Linked DNA regions of Pelodiscus sinensis. The protein of the gene in region 1 binds, or shares a complex with, the protein of each later gene. Links are inferred from orthologs where the notes say so. Each region holds a gene or a part of one and is shown in the gene's direction. Other genes may lie near its edges.

Region 1 (8,626 bases):
GGGAAATAGTGCCTAACTGGCAATTACCTCCTGTAAAGACTACCCCACAGGCTAGCTATCCCCTATGGCTTTTAGACTTCCCCCTCCCCCCATGGTAGCTTCTTCAGTGGATTTAAGAGGTGCCAGTTATTTAAAATACAAAGCCTAATGTTAATAGAACTGTTTGTATCCCTGCTTATGTCCTGAGCACTTGAACCTAACATGAACATAGGCATGTGAATAGACAATTCACTTTGGCTATGTCTACACTACAGAGTTTTTCTGGGATACATCCTGGAAAAACTCTGCTGCCTCCAGGGAACACATCTACTCTTCTGAAAAAAATTTCGGAAGAGCAGATGCACTTTTTCGGCATCCCTGTAAACCTCATTTATGAGGAAGAAGGGATATTCCGAAAGTTTTTTTCCCCCCAACATTTGGCCTAGGGTAGATGGGCCAAATGTCAGAAAAGCCTCTTCCGAAAAAAGAAGCATAAAAAGCTACTCCAATTGTGGTTCGCAATTTACGTAGATTTTTCCTGAAGAGCAGTGTAATGTAGACATAGCCTTTGAGAAGCAAAATCTGGCAAACCTGGTACTCTGGCCTGTATGCCAATGGTGTAGTCGGGAGTTGTACGTTTCTTACAGAAATCATGGATTCTGTAGTCTGTTTTGTTCCCTCCTTCCTTATTGGTGTCTTGGGATTCTTTCTGGTGACTGAATGGAGGCAAGAGCAGTATTTGAACCAATTTCACTGTGAACCATGACAGCAGGAACTCTCCTGGTTTATTAGTGGTTTGTCTTGTGTGCATGCTTGGGAAAAGGCAGACCATGAACTCCAGGATGTCTCTACTTTACTATTTGGTGGTGTTTGCATGTTTGAAAAAAAAGTCCTGAAACTACTCACAATGAGATAGTGATTGCTACTTACTGTGAGCAATCCCCATGGCTTTATGGAAGTAAGCAATATACCACCCTGTGTTTGTGGGATTGAGCAACTTCTTGACTGGTTTCACATTTGAGCTGCACCCAGTATGGAAGCTAACATGTTTGAGTTCTTAGGGCTTGACTGAATGCTCATTGATGTTAATAGCAAAGCTCCATTGACTTTAACCATCCAGGATTGGGACTTTAACACATACTATTGCTGTCATTGGGCTCAAGGCTGTTTGATTTCCAGCTATTTGAAAATATGCCTTATTCTCAGGGTATTATTTGGCATTGCCTAGGCCTTTATCCTGCAAACACTTAAGCATACACTTAACTTTATTCACTGTATTTCTGTTTACCTCAGTGGAAGTAATTACAGTGTGTAAAGTTAAGCATGCTTGTAAGGGTTAAGCCATAATTTGAATTGTGTTTAATTTTAGGAGATAACTTTATGGTCCCCAAGCCCCCAAAATAATCTAAGTGGGAAACAAATGAAAATGCCTCTTGGGGTGTTTCCTTGATAAATCCTTAATGGTGAGTATCTTGGGTATAAATACTTTTCTCCTGCTGCCAAGAAAAGAGCTTTGACTATTTATAGCAAAACCTGTTCATTTTCCAGTGTGGTGTCCAATTTTTCCAGACAGTAGTTGTGTCAATGACATAATTAATGGGCTTGACTACTTTTAACACGGACTACTCTTTGACTTTCACTCTGTGTGTGGGCACCATCTTTGTATGGCACATACTGAATCAGCACTTTGTGAGACACTGAATGGCTCTGTAATTTGCCAACAGAAAAGCATCCAGAGCCTTTGAGTTGGAGATCTTGGTGCACTGCATGCTTGAGGCACAGGAACAACTTATTACCTAGGGATATAAGCTATTAGTTGAGCAGTTGACTACCCAATAAGCCTAGCGTAGGCTTATTGGGTAGTCAAGTCACTGCTTGACTAGTCGCTTCCCCCATCCTTGCTGCCTCTGTATCAGAGGAGCAAGGGGGAGGAGCGGGAGCCAGTGCTGGGGGGAGCTGGCTTAAAAGCTGGCTCCCCCCAGCGCTGTCTCTGGTGGGGGGCAGAGGTGCAGCAGGGGACCCAGTGCGATCTGAGACTGAGCAGTCCCAGCTCACGCTGACCAATGATGCAGGTTTCACTTCCTGGCCCAAACTAATTAGAGAAAGAAAGACAATCTAAGAACATTTCTGTGTAATAGTAATAAAGTCTTTGTGCTTGGGCTACAGCTCCTTTGAGTTTATTAGAAGAGGAAACGATGGTAACACCAGGGCCAAGTATCAATAAGAAAATGGGGGCAGAATTTAGTGGTTACATTAGAAGATTAATAGTCAAGACTCCTATTCTGGTCTCCGCTAATATGCTGTGTGACTCTGGGCACCTCATTTCTTCTGTTTTTCCTATTTGCAAAATGTGTACTGTAATTTCTCTCACTCTAAAATTATTTTTCTTGCGGGACGACAGTGACATCATCACATTACTCTGCATCCCGCCTGCCTACTCCTTCCTTCCCCACCCTTTCCCCAGTGCTCGGGAGCCAGGATTGCTGCACCGTGGCCTCCCTCTTCCCTGATGTTTGGGTGAGAGCTGGGGGGAGAGTGCAGGGTCAGGTGTAGCCAGACAGGAACCCCCTTGTAACATCCATTTTTGCTTGCCTGGAGCATACAGGGCACACAGAGCAGAAGGCCCAGGCTGTGTGACCGTGAATGGCTATAAACAGAGATATGCCAATTGCTGACCAAGAGGCTGCCAAGGAGTGCCCTTGACTTAACCCATATTGATACGAACACACATCCATCCGCGGGGGGAGGAATCTCTCGCCCAGTAAAAAAAATGTCTAGTGCTCACAATTTAGTTATCTCTCTTGCAAGTGTAAATTAACTTGAAACTTGCTTGTAAGAACTGGCGCCACAAAACGGACCAGTAGAATTCGGCATCTTAGATAAGAAAGAGAATACGGGCCCCCAGGGGTATAAAGATAGGTCCAGCAGCGCATTCTCTTTGAGTGTCAATCTACCATCTATCTGCTGGTCGGGTTAGGTGTTTGATCTCCCGAGGTTCCAAGGGGACGCCCACCTCGTATTCGTCTTTCCTAGGAATTGAGAGACCGGCCCTGGCCTGACACGCTGGAGTCGAGAGGCACAGAAAGGGGTAAAAATTGTACCTGGATGTGGTCCTTTGTTTAAGTATATATATACATAGACTTAGAGCTCTTTAAAGATTAAGCTGTCACTTGGTACCATTATTTCTATTTTCTATCTTTATTTTCTTTGTAACCATTTTTAAAATCTGTATTTGTTAGCATTTAAGAAATAGAGCAATAGCCATTGTAACCATATGCTTTTATAAGTCTTTTAATAAACCTGTAACTGTTTAAGCTTTAACCTGACTCCTTCAGTTGCTGTAACAGAATCAAGCACAATTTAAAAGAACTTCAGCCGGTCATAAAGGGACAGACATAGGGAGAGCTTGGGCATTTGGATCTGTGTCACTCCCAGGTGACAAGATCCGTTAGGGCACCTTTCCAGCCTTTCCCAGGCTGCCCGCTGCGAAGGAACCCCTGTGTTCTAGCAGTTAAGATCTAAGGTGTAATAAGCTCTTTCTATATAACGGGGCGTCTGTTGGCCTGCTGGCCACCCTCTGCGACGGGACCCCGGTCCTAGCAGTAAAGACACGGACGTTAAACCTTTTCTCGGAAGCATACACACACACACTGCCCTGACCGTCGGCTGACATCAGGTGAGACCTTGGCCCGGACCCTCTCCGACCTGATGACCAGGGGGAGAGCACGGGACCTGGTGAGGCCTCAGCCCTCCTCGGTGGCTGGGGAGAGGTGGGGGAGAGCTGGGGCTGGCACAGCTTGGGGGAGAAGGAGGTAGAGCCAAGGCTGGCTCTACTTTCCCTCTACCTTCCCTGATGGCTGGGGTCAGGGGGAGAGCTGGGGCTAGCCAGGACTGGTGTGGCTGGGGGCGGGGGAAGAGGATAGAGCTGGGCTTTCCCAATCTTCGCTCCCTGTCGGGCAGCTGGGGAGGGAGAGAGGTGGGGCTGGTGTGTCTGGAGGAAGGGAAGCACAATAGAATTGTTTTGAAAACAGTCACCATCACTAACTGCTTAATGCCATCTCCACCTGCCAATGGTGGCAAGCGTTGGAAGGACAGAAGCATAAAAGGTAGTGGTGTAAGAGTAGGGAAGCTGAAACTTTGCTCAGTGATGGGTTCATTGGTAACTTGGGAAGAGTTGAGGACTGCACTTCACTTGCATTTGCTCTCCCTTTTAATGTGGAATCCATTATAGTTCCTTGCAAGGTGGAGCAGAGTCTTCTAAGGCTGCCTCTCTTTCTTAAAAATCTATGTGGCCACATGCTGAATTGGATATATTTCTGGGTTGCAGGCCTCACATTGGCACTCGTTATATAGGCTTGACAACGAGGGTGCAGATATTGACCAGAAGAGGTCTAATCCAAGTGTAATTGCAGGAGTATATTCAGGCTTGTTACCATCATGCTGTTTGGTAGAAGTGTTATTAATGAATTCTGTTTAATACCTTCCTTATTTCTTCCCGGTTGCTTATCAAGTCTGTAATCTTCAATTGACTTTTAACCTCCATGAAATAGTGGCTTCTGCTACAGCTATGGCTAGCACATAATTAATTAAGATGGAACTAATAATTAACAGGAGAACTGGCTTATTGAGTTGGTTTAGTTATTGAGAGATGTATGGCATAAGCGGGGCGGCCCGTGAGTATAGGCCAACTTGGCTGTGGCCTACGGCGCCGCCTTCAACAGGGTCCCTGGGATGCCCAATGATGATGTCACGAGGCGCCCGGGGTGCCCAATGATGACGTCACGTCGTTGAGGGCTGTGCAGGCGGGGGTGCCAATCGCGCGTTCCGCCTGGGGCGCCAGCTGCCACAGCCCACCTCAGGCCACCCCTGGGCATAAGCACAATTTATACAATTGAGAGCCTTCTAAATTACCTATTCTCCTGGTCTGATGATAGTCTGGGTTACAAAATTAAATGCAAAATGGAAGCAATGCTACTATATGTCTCATACCTTGCTTTAGTCTTCAGTGTAACAGGTGAGGGGAAAATTATAACTTCAGTTATCTTGGTGCATAAAGGTTCTTCCAATTCATGTTTTCAGTGTACCTGTAGTTAAATGAAAACTGCAGGTTTGTAATGTAGTTTTAAATAGGGAAAAGTGTAACGTGTATTTTCTGTAAGATTTGAGATATTTGCATATGAGCTCCTTATTGAAAACAGATAAGACAAATAAATCATTCATTGGTACTGGAATTACTTATGTTTTCTAGTTTCTCCATTTGATTATCACAAGACAGTGGGTTCTGCCATTTTTTTTTAGTGTCTTAAACAAAAAAACACACTCACTCTTTGTGTCCCTGGAGAAATAAGCTAAAATATGGTGAATCACTTAAACAATGAAGCAATTCATTGCCCCAGCCTGGCTTGTCACACGTTTTCCTTGCAGATTTTCATGGGTTATTAATGCATATCTTTAAAAGAAGATGATCTTAGTAGTTATGTTGCAGAGATAAGAGAGAGAGGCCGCGGCTGGCCTAGTTGTTACTGCAGACCAAGTGTGAACAAAGTGGAAATACTCTTCACTCCAAGTAAATTCCTTTCACATGAAAAGGAAACTATGACTGAGGTGCAAGATGCTGGAAGCGTGTACCACCAGAGGTACTGGGTGGTGGTAGATGATTTAGACTATATGTACATTAAAGTAAGTGTAATCTGTTGACTTTTTTCATGTTCTTTGTTTTAATAAAATCGAAACCTTTTGATATGGATACGCAGTCTCTGTGTTTGTACCAGTGCTTAATGAAAGTTTAGTTTTGATTTATTCTGATTCATTGTTAATAGCAACAAGATTCTTTCAAACATGACAGATGATGGTTTTATGGTTTGGGACTGGGTCTCTTTTTTGTTGGTTTCTTTTTAAATATCTCATGGGTTTTTTTCCCCAATAAGAGACATTAGCGCTTGTGGTATTGTATGTCAGTGTGTAATATTTGTTTTTATTATCTGTTTATTATAATGGGATTCATGCCACAGCAATCTCAGATAATGAAAGGCAACACAACATTGACTTGGTGACAGTAGCTGAATATACAGTATTTGTGAAGAAAAGGAATATAACTACTTATTGAAATATGGTACTGAATGAAATGCATCAGGAATCCAAATAGATGCATACTAACTTTTTAACAGTCACTTTTAATGTGGGTGGATAGCTCTAAATATTATTGTGACTCTTCCTATTTTATCAGACCGTTGAAGGTTCTGTGGGCTAGAATCTGATTCCAGTTTATGCTGGTGTAAACTGGGGTAACTCACTTATTAACAGTGGTATGTAGCAAAACAAGGTGCAGTCAGCTTGTGTGCTTCCCGGCGCAGCAACAAAGTGTATAACTAAGCACATTTTGGTCCCTTAGGGCTTTATCAAGGTGTGGCTTAAAAAGATGTTTTCAAAAGAATGGAATGTATGCGGAAAAAGTCCTCCAGCAAATAGGATGTGAGACTGTATCAGGTTTTGTCCTACTCTTATTTTTACATGCTAGTGCAAGTGGGTCATCAGATTAAAATAAACCAGGTAAAAATGTTGGCAGTTAGAATAAATGGTTTCTGAGCCTGGAAAGAAGAGTGGGGAGAGATGCACAGAATGCTGGGTGCAGAGCCAAGGTATAGATGATTGTGTGTCTTCCTCTGACCCCATGTTTTAAAACTTTGTTCTGGGCATTATCAAGATGGGACAAGTATCGCGTGCACTAGCATGTGTTTTATGGAAATCTGCCCAGACTGTTCCTCCGTGACTCAGAATGTGCTATGTCACAGGTGGCTATGCCTTAGAGTTCTGAATTGATATTATCTGTTAGTGGCTGTAATTGAGCTTCACTGTGTGGCAACAAGGTACACATGGCTTATTTTGAAAGGTTCACCGCTCTTCCCATGAGCCCGACAGCATCTTTGCTTAGCTCTCAAGTTAAAGTAATTTAATAGCCAGGATTTGCTGCACTGCTGTTTTAACCTTAGCACTATACACATACCTTTGTGGTTTAGTTCAGGTTTTACTGTAGTGAAAGTTGTGTCTGAGTAAAAAATGAGGGAAGCCCTCAGGATTTACTCACAAATTTGTAAGAAGACGTTTGGGAAAGTGCAATCTTTTCCTTGGTATTTTAACTGTTAGGTTATCCTAATGTAAAATCTAATGTTTCTCTTTACATGTGCACGTTCCCTTGTTTTTATCCTAACAGTTTATCAGTTTTCCATAGTCCAGAAGCTTTGCAAACATTTATGAATGTCGCCTCTAATAAGCCTGCAGGATAGGCTATCAGTTACTGCTCCAAATTTCCTTGAATAACTTCAGTTTCTCGCTTCTAGTGCTATAGTACACTGGGGTGCAGTATGATCACTATAACCCTTTATTTTCTCTTCCTGCCCTGTTAAATTCTGGACGTGCCAACTAATCCCATTAGAACATTGCAGATGGCTCAGTGCTAAATCAGTAGCAATGATACAAAAGAAGTGATTTCCACTTCCTGTATCTATGAACCAAGGGTTAACAGACAGATGCATTCACCACTGTCTATGTTCTCCATCCCCCCATCTGGAAGGCTCTGTAAGCAGGACATTGGCTCATAGCTGTTGGCAGAGTGAGTCAGTTCAGTTGTCTCATCAGCCTTTCCTGTACAGGTGAACTTGAAAGCTTTTTTGAAGGGGGGAGGGGAGAGGAATCTGTTTGAAGAGCCTTAAAATTAGTAATAGAATTTGGTGGTAAGGAGGAATCAATATAATTTTTATATTAAAAATGTTTTAACTTAGAGCCTTTCATTTTAATATAAAGACCTGATTTGAAGGTTCTGTACTACCCCTGCAAGAATCCATGACACTGTTAACAACTAAAGCAGAGAAGAGAAACACAGGGCTTCTATTTTGAGGATGTCATTTGGCAATTAACTTGAAGGTCTTGACAGGTGAGAGGAGGTGTGTTAAGACCCCCTTCTCTTTCACCTGACAAGATCTGAGTCAAAAGAATATTGTAAGAGTAACATTTTGACTTGAATTAGGTTGTTATAATTTGTGCAAATTTTTAATGCCCGTGAATGGTGTTTGGTAGTCTTGGACACTGAAGTTTTCTACATAGCTACAGTGATACCTAACCTAGATCCAAAGAGAGCATTGCTATTCATTCCTGGGCCTCTTAGATGAGAGTGCCATCCATGTTGCCTATTGGTAGCAGTTGTGGTACATCTTCTGATGGGAATATCAGAGCTAGTTTTCAGAGGACAGAACATCCCACTCATTACTGAATACCAAAGAGCCCACAGATGGTAATGAGTGTCAGTCATTATTGACTTGACTGTGGATTTGGACTAATGGCGTGATTTTTAGTATTTAGCTGTAAACCTATACATTCTTTAAATTTGTGGTTTTAACAAGTTGTTTCACTTCTCTTTTTAGAACTAACTTCTTTGCGTCTTAAAGTGAAGCTACTTAAAGAGTTAACCCTGAAACACTGACTGTATAATCCTACCAAGTTTGCCTATTTCTCTTCAAAATTGGAGAATGTATGGAATTTTTCCACCGATTGAATTGTAACACAGTGAAATCATAGAATACTAGGACTGGAAGGGACCTCAAGAGGTCATCGAGTCCAGTCCCCTGCCCCCATGGCAGGACCAAATATTGTC
Region 2 (8,218 bases), on another chromosome or scaffold:
GGCTAGACCCTTGGCACATGGCCCTTGGCAGACGGGAAACGCCACTTTCCCCTAATGAATCAAGGCACCACTTTAAAAACAGGTCTGCCCGTGGCACGCTTCCCCACAACCATTTCTCTTTCTGCCCTCCCCCCCTTATCTCTGGCACATTTATCATCCTAGCGAATCTCCTGCTCATATTTTGAGTCACGCATGTTGAAGGCTGCGGCTTTATTTCCTGTGCATCCCTAGAAGAGCCCTCCCCCTCCTTCCCTTCGGGTCCAGCCAGCCTGCAACTTGGATATAAATCTTTAGTATTTGGCACTTGCTGGGTGGCATTTTTCAAGTGCCACTTCCAGCCAGTGAGAGTCAAAGGCCTATGTCCCTACTGCCCCTTTGCATCCCAGCCTACCTCTTCAGAGCCCCCTCCAAATGTATGAATCAATGCTTGTAACATGCCGGCGAGCCAGTGTGCGCCCCATTCTATAGCTAAGAGGCAGACACAGACAGGCCAAAGAGAGACGGAGCAGAGCAAGGGCAGAGCATGGAAAATGCCCAGCTCCCAGGCTGGCCTCCAGCCACAGCTCACGAAGTAGCTAGCCTGGCACATGACATGAGCAGATTGATAAGCAGGCGGCTTCTCAGACCCTTTATGCTACTGGAACAAGGTGTAAATGCTTCCTGGCTCTCGCATGCCACCGACGGGCTTCCTGGCACCGCAGCGAGCGTGAAATTGACTTTCCTCGGCTCATTCTACTGACGTGGGTGTAGGAGAGAAGGTTGCTCCAGCTGCGTTAAGCAAGACGCGATTTGAATCGGGAGAGAGAGGACATCCCCCCTGGCTGTTTCCTTTCCTTTCCCCACATGCTGTGCCACACTTCCTCACTGTGCAGGGGGGTGAAACACTGGAATAAGTTCCTAGGGGGGTTGTGGAATCTCCATCACTGGAGAGATCTAAGAGCAGGTTGGACAGACACCTGTCAGGGATGATCTAGGTTAGATATTCATTTTTCCTACTATCCAACCTAGACCTCCCCCACTCTGTCACTAGGAGGGGGTGAAGCACTGGGCTGGGTTCCCTAGGGAGGGGGTGGAATCTCCATCCCTAGAGGTTTTTAAGTCTTAGCTTGACAAAGCCTTGGCTGGGATGATGGAGTTGGGGTTGGTCCTGCCTTGGGCAGGGAGCTGGACTCGATGCCGTCCTGAGGTCTCTTCCAGCCCTGGGATCCTATGATTTAGATGGTGCTGGGTCCTGCCACGAGGGCAGGGGACTGGACTTGCTCCCTCAAGGTCCCTTCTGGGTCCAGTGTGCTGTGATTCTGCACTGCGTATGCCAGTTTCCCCCTTCGTCTGTGCTCCGGACACGCGCTGCCTTCGCCAATCCAGTAGGTCGGGGGAAAGCTGCTCCTGCTGGTAACCCCCCAAGGAAAACATGCCCCTTGTTTGGTGCCCTTTCAAAGTGCAGCCAGCCGAATGGAAAGTCATGAGTGACCAGATCAATCAGCCACGGCCCGCACGTGTCGGGACACCAGTTAGTCTCTCCTCCCATGCCCTTGCCGGGAGCGGTTTGGGCTGGCTCATGCGATGGGCTCCCTATGTGGGTGAGCTGCACATTTTGTTCCTCTGTGATGGCGAATGCTCTGCGTGCAGGAAACCCACCTCCCCGAAAGGCAGAAGTTAGGTTGAAGGAAGAATTCTACCCCCCGGGGTGAGATTGGCATAGCTGTGTCTCTCTCCCAGGGGTGGGATTCGTGGGGGGTAGCTATGCCAATGTAAGTTCCCTATGTAAACCAGCCCTAAGATTTGTCTACATTCAACAGAAGATCACTACTGCCGAGATTGATCTTCCGGAGTTTGATTTAGCAGGTCTAGTTAAGACTTGCTAAATCAAAGTCAGAGGGTGCCTCCACCATCGTCCAGTACTTCTGCGTCTGCAAGGAGGAAGGGAAGCTGACAGGAACGTTTGCTCCCACTGGCCTCCCGTCGTGGGGATGCCGCTAAACTCGGCTTAAAGTAAGCCGACTCCAGGTATGCGTTCTACAGAGGTGGAGTTGCATTCCTTAAGCTGAGCTGCCGGGTCCAGTGTAGACCTGGCCTAAGAGCCCTAATTCAGGGAGCTGTTGGGAACAGGCTGCCTGTGCATAAACTCTGGCACCTCTGCGTGGTACTGCTGGGGCCACACAGCATGCTTAATGAAGATCTCGTTACTACAACACTCCCTGCCCCCCTCCTTCCTGTTCATTCCCTTTCAGGTAAAATTACAACCATTTTCACCATCTGCCAGCTTGAATTATACCCACTGCAGACAGAAAACGACCCTAAAAGGGCAGCATTGGGCTTGCAAGCAGTCAGGGGTCCCTGCCCACGTAGTTTTACACCCACAGTCCCGCTCCTCCGGCGTAACAGGGGCGGCAGGGCCAAAGGTGGGGGTGGGGCTTTGCGACTCAGGGCATGGGGGTCACAGCGAGGGGCAGGTTTGGCCCTTAGGCCGTGAATGCCCAGCACGTCTCCCTCTACGGGGCTGGCTTCTGCGCCTCCAACCAACCCCGCTTCGTGGGCCAGAGGCTGCAGAGCCACTCCGAGCTCTGTGTCCCAGCCTGCGTCTCTGAAAGTCACCCCCGTTTGTCCCACCAGTTTCAGTGGGAACAGGAGCTGGCCCTAGACTCCAGTTACATAACAGGGCACTGCTCTGTCTCTGTTGATTACATCCTTTGTTCCTTCATGCAGCTTCGTTTTTCTCTCTAATTGTGCTAGAGGGCGGGGGGCAGGGGCATTGCTGTGGAAGCCACAACCCAGATTTTCCACGGGGTACATCTGGCTGTGGCGTAGCGAACATCGCTCAGCGTTCGAACCAGCAGGGAGCGTTCGCAGGCGTCTGGCTGTAACACTCCGGATCCCAGTTCCCCTGCCTACGCCTCTTCGAGCACCACTTTTCCGACTGTAGCGGGCACTGTTTCTAACTGCAAAATCATGGCAGGAAAACCATGTCAGATGATGTGTCTCAGCTTGGTAATGAATAGGCCTGGGGCTCTTTTCCGATTTGAGCAGAACGGCTGACACTGTTTCTGCTTACGTAACACTCTAGAACCAAAGGGAATGTGATCAGAGGAGGCATGATTTGAATCATGCCTGTGAAACAAACAAGGTGCCGAGAAGGCAATGAAAACTTGCTCTAAATCAACAGAACAAATGTGACCTCCTATAACCACTTTCATAGAGGTTAATTAGCCACTTTGGTCTGTTTCAGCAGAAACAACCAGGAGTCTGGTGGCACCTTAAAGAGAAACCTATTTTTTAGGGCAAACGCTTTCACGGGCTAGAACCCACTTCATCAGAGGCATGAAGCGAAAGAATCAGATGGCAGGAGTATATACAGAACGACAGAAATTGGATGGGTTACATCAGTGCTAATGAGGCTAATTCAATCAGGGCGATAAGAGGGTGGGAATAGCTAAAGGGAAAATTTACATATTGTAATGAGTGAGCTATTCCCAGTCCCTATTCAGACGCATTCTGACGGTGTCAATTTTGCATACGAATTCTAGCTCGGTGGTTTCACGCTGCAGGTTTTGTTTGGTTGGTTTGGGTTTGGAAGTGTTTTTGCTCAACTATGGCAACTTGCAAGTCTGTTTCTATGTCTGTTTGTGCAAGAACTCCTCCGAAATGGTAGGACCACCAAATTCGGCAGGCAGATCCCTCTTGTCATGACTTAAAGCAAGGCCAGTGTTGGGCTGTGCCAGGACAAGGGGTGTTTTTGTTGCCCTTTTTGGAACCTTTTCCGATGCCAAGATATCTTTTTTGAGATGAGGCAGCCACATTTGTACAGTATTCAAGATGTGGGTGTTCCAGGGATTTATACAGAGGCAATAAAATATTTTCTTTTTTATTCTCTATCTCTTTTTTAATGATTCCTAAAATCATTTGATGGCTTCTCATCAAACCAGGCAAGTTAAAAGGGCTATTTGGGAGCGTGCCTCCCCCCCACCCCCATCTGGGACTGCCACAGCCCCGACCTTTCAACCCCCTCCTCTCCCACCCTTCAGGATGCACGGGGGACTGAAGCTCCCCCCAGATTCATACGGGGACATTGCTGGCTGGTCCCTTTCCTCACCATCAGGGAACAGAAGGAATCATAGAATCATAGAATACTAGGACTGGAAGGGACCTCCAGAGGTCATCGAGTCCAGTCCCCTGCCCTCGTGGCAGGACCAAATACCGTCTAGACCATCCCTGGTAGACATTTATCTAACCCACTCTTAAATATCTCCACAGATGGGGACTCCACAACCTCCCTTGGCAATTTATTCCAGTGTTTAACTACCCTGACAGTTAGGTACTTTTTCCTAATGTCCAACCTAAACCTCCCTTGCTGCAGTTTAAGCCCATTGCTTCTTGTTCTATCCTCAGAGGCCAAGATGAACAAGTTTTCTCCCTCCTCCTTATGACACCCTTTTAGAAACCAGAAAACTGCTATCATGTCCCCCTCAATCTTCTCTTTTCTAAACTAAACAAACAACTTGTTTGGCCCCTGCCCAAAGCCCCCACGGGATGCACTGGCTTCCACTTGACCTTTTGTTTATGTTTTTATTTTTATTTTTTCTCTCAAAGCCTTAATCAACGCTCATAGACTCATCGACTTTAAGGTCAGAAGGGACCATTATGATCATCTAGTCCAGTGTTTCCCAATTTTATTTGGCCACAGAACCTTTTTAAACTCAAAAGAATTTTGTGGAACCCCTAATAGCAGTCTTATATATGGAGCTGAAAAAGTCGATCACAAATAAATAAGGATAATAAACAACAAATGCTAAGCAAGGTCATGAGATCAACACCAATGAAAACTAGTTTCAATAAAATTCTTAATATTTATTATTATTTTAATAACAACATGTTATTGTAATGGAACTTTCTCACGGAACCCCAGGGTTCCCCGGAAAACCATTTGGGAAACACTGATCTAGTCTGACCCCCTGCACAGTGCTGATTTGCTGGAGATGACCAGGGGGATGTGGTTGGGGGGTTGGATTTTTTTCATAGTTTTTTTTTTTTATTTTTGTTATTTCTCTGGTACACGATCACCTGCTTCCAGGCCCCAGGGCTGAAATCCCGGCTCTCTTCCGTGCTCACGAAACCTTGCCGCCTTGCTTGGAGTTTGCTGCGCCTTTCCAAGTGTGCCGAGACCACCTCGTCCTCCCCCGGCCTGGCCCCAGCGTTGCATTGGGTCCCCTGGTGCCTGCCTCTTGCCCCCCGCCGCCGCCGCCCAGGGTCCCCCCGCCGCCGGACCGAAACTGACCAGGGGCCGGACTCCGCGGCAGCTGCTGCGTGGCTAATCGGCAGCATGTGACAAACCCTATTTTACTCCTCCCCCTAGGACCGGCTCGCCGGCCAGCCAGACGAGATCCGAGCAACAGCAGCGGTGGCGGCAGCCTGCACACGGTAACGTGCCGGGTCGGATCTGGGGCGAGTTGGGGGGCAGGAAAGGGACTGGGGGTGCTTACTACTCATGGAGCTTGCCCCTGTCTTCAGCTGAGCCCCGGCTAGTGCCCCAGCCCTGCCCTGCTGCAATCCCCAGCCCGGGTCTGCAAAGGGCAGGGTGCTGCCAGCAGCAAAGGTAAGAAAGGTGGAGGGAGAGAAACCCCAGTTGGATGATGGGGGAGGGGAGTCTTCAAAGCAAAGTCTGGATTCACCTGTAAAACAGGAGCCCAGAGCGTCTAAACAGTGCGACAGGACAGCCCCATGCTAGTCCATGGGCAGGCAAGACCCCTGGGAACCCTTCCAGCCGGCCTCAGGAGGGGTGTCGCTCGGATATTATAGCGGATACCCGCTGGGGGCTGCAAAAGGCCAGTTGAAATCATGATAGAAATGGAGCCATGTTAGTCTGGTGTAGCTGAAACAAAACCCAGGACTATGTAGCACTTTAAAGACTAACAAGCAAGACCTGGATGGAGCCTTTTCTTTAGCTCAGCTTTCCAAAGAGTGCGCCATGGGGGGGAGCGGTTTCCTCTGAATGCCCTTGCTGCCATGGGGTTCAGACACAGCCTCGCTTAGCCATACATGGGGGAATTACCCCCTTCCTGGGTTGCCACTCCATTTCTATGTAGGTACATTGCACGCCACCCTTGAAAATGTAAGGGTCGTTCCTGATGAGTGTGGTAATTCCATTAGTAATGTGCTTCTGTGGGTTAACGAGCCTGGTCAAGATATACTCCTGCCTGCTTTTGCCTCCAAACTCCTGTTGGCTTTATTGGAGCCATAAGGGGTACATGAGGTATGGGATTATGCTCCAAAGAGGTTCATTTTCAGCTTCCGAATAAGCAGAATAAATGGGCAACTCCCTAGATTGTTATGCCTATCTAATCTGCCCTGTGTAGGGCTGACGCCTATAACACCATTGGGTACTGGGATGTTACTTCTCTTTAAGACTTTCAAGAGCTCAGGTTGTAGCGTTTGAAATGAAAACGCCTCCCGGCCCTTGTCTACAGGGGAGGTTAGTTTCATTTTTTGGAGCACAAAAATGCACAGGCCCGCTGGACGCAGGATGCCACTTAGTCTGCGCAATTCAGTTCTAATCCTGAAAGGTGCGAGGGACCCTCAAATGCTGCTGTTTTCAGTGGAAATTGAAGGCACCTTGCACCATGCCAAGCTGGGCCCTTCCTACACCCTTCTATCTGACTCTTGTTATTGAGTCTAAATGGAGAACCACTCCTCACCTTCCAGCAAGGGGCAACAATGATTTTGCTTCCAAGGACTGATATTTAGGTTGATCCTGTGGCTCTGAAATACAGCATACTGCAGCGTGCTAATACTCTGCAAATTTAACGCATTCCGGAAGGGTAGGGCGTGGACACGGGGAGGGGGAGTGAGAGAGAGCAGATATTATTAAAATAGTTCTGACTTGTATTGTTGAAGTCTACTTGGCACCTGTACAATATCCTGTGATTTCCGGAGAACAATTCTTCTACCTCAAAAGTCTTTAAGAATAAATGTCTGAAGCCCCTTAGCCTACGCCATGCCTTCCTCCTTCATTTCCTCTCACCCCTTTATAATTTATATAAATACGAATAAGGATAAGAACTATTACCTAAAAATGATATGCCATGAGCCTTGTTGATGATACAGTTTTAAAAACAACCCTTTTTACTTTTCTCCCAGCATTATAAAAGCTCCCTCCTCCCTCCTCAGCAGCTCTAGAGAAACCAAAATAATTGTGGGGTTTTCAGGCCTTCCTATTTTAAAGTTGTGCCGAGCCAAAAAAAAAAAAAAAAAGTAAAATTACTGCAAAGATTTCAGAACATCAGATTCTGGAATACCATGTCCAAATATAAATCTATTTCAAATTAGCTGTTTCATTTTATATTTATATCCCTGCCTTATTCTGGAATAAATTTCTCGAATGAACAAGCTATGTGTTTAAGTTTTAAACCCAATATAGCTGATTTTTATAATGGAAATGCAAACAGACATCACCATATGCTAAAATACCATAGGTTTGTTGATTCAAAACACTACAGTTTTACAGGACATAAGAATGGCCATACTGGGTCAGACCAAAGGTCCATCCATCCCAGCAACCTGTCTGCTGACACTGGCCAATGCCAGGTGCCCCAGAGGAAGTAAACACAACAGGTAATCATGTGATCCCTCTCCTGTCATCCATTTCCAGACAAACAGAGGCTAGGGACACCATTCCTAACCATCCTGGCTAATAACCATTAATGGACCAAGCCTCCATGAATTTATCCAGCTCTTTTTTGAACCCTGTTAAAGTCCTAATCTTCACAACATCCTCTGGCAAGGAGTTCCACAGGTTTACTGTGTGCTGCATGCAGAAAAACAGTAATGCTGCTTATGTTTTTTTATCTTCATCATTTGGTCCGATAAACATTAGTTTTTTCTCTTAGTGGAAGACAGCTTGGAAAAGATGCCATTTCACTTAATCTCCCACCCCTTTAAGTAAATGTTATTGGTCATTTCTTGCTTGCACCCGCTTCTTTTGAAAGCGGTGGGGCAGTCACCCAAGGGGTTACATTTCCAGAATTGCTGACCAAACACATTAAATTTAATGGGCATTCAGCACTTCTGAGAATCGGGCACCTATTATCTTATCATCGTGCGAGTCTAATCTTAATGCACGTGGTCATTCCAGAAGACTCGAGTGCATAATTGATTTAGTGTCTGTACTGTAGATCAAAGACCAGCATGCTAGTGACATATGGACAGCTGATGAACTGAAGTATTT

The links.
Region 2: the proteins of MYO5A (region 1) and MLPH are in contact, whole or in part, in a crystal structure (PDB 4KP3), measured with the Mus musculus proteins. The link is inferred for Pelodiscus sinensis from reciprocal best matches to the Homo sapiens genes MYO5A and MLPH. Residues at the interface, in NP_034994.2 of Mus musculus: Asp1524, Val1527, Arg1528, Leu1531, Thr1532, Ile1535, Asn1536, Lys1539, Ser1570, Gly1571, Leu1588, Thr1589, Asn1590, Phe1591, Asp1592, Leu1593, Ala1594, Glu1595, Tyr1596, Val1599; in NP_443748.2 of Mus musculus: Lys184, Lys186, Arg187, Leu188, Leu189, Ser190, Phe191, Arg192, Asp195, Phe196, Glu197.

Annotation. Positions count from the first base shown.
Region 1 is NC_134724.1:25,553,208-25,561,833, reverse strand, and holds the start of MYO5A (unconventional myosin-Va), read left to right. Parts: upstream 1-5,455; 5' UTR 5,456-5,574; coding exon 5,575-5,658; intron 5,659-8,626. UniProt on the Homo sapiens protein: Processive actin-based motor that can move in large steps approximating the 36-nm pseudo-repeat of the actin filament. Can hydrolyze ATP in the presence of actin, which is essential for its function as a motor protein. Involved in melanosome transport.
Region 2 is NC_134717.1:62,045,215-62,053,432, reverse strand, and holds the start of MLPH (melanophilin), read left to right. Parts: upstream 1-5,055; 5' UTR 5,056-5,415; intron 5,416-5,437; exon of another isoform or gene 5,438-5,590; intron 5,591-8,218. UniProt on the Homo sapiens protein: Rab effector protein involved in melanosome transport. Serves as link between melanosome-bound RAB27A and the motor protein MYO5A.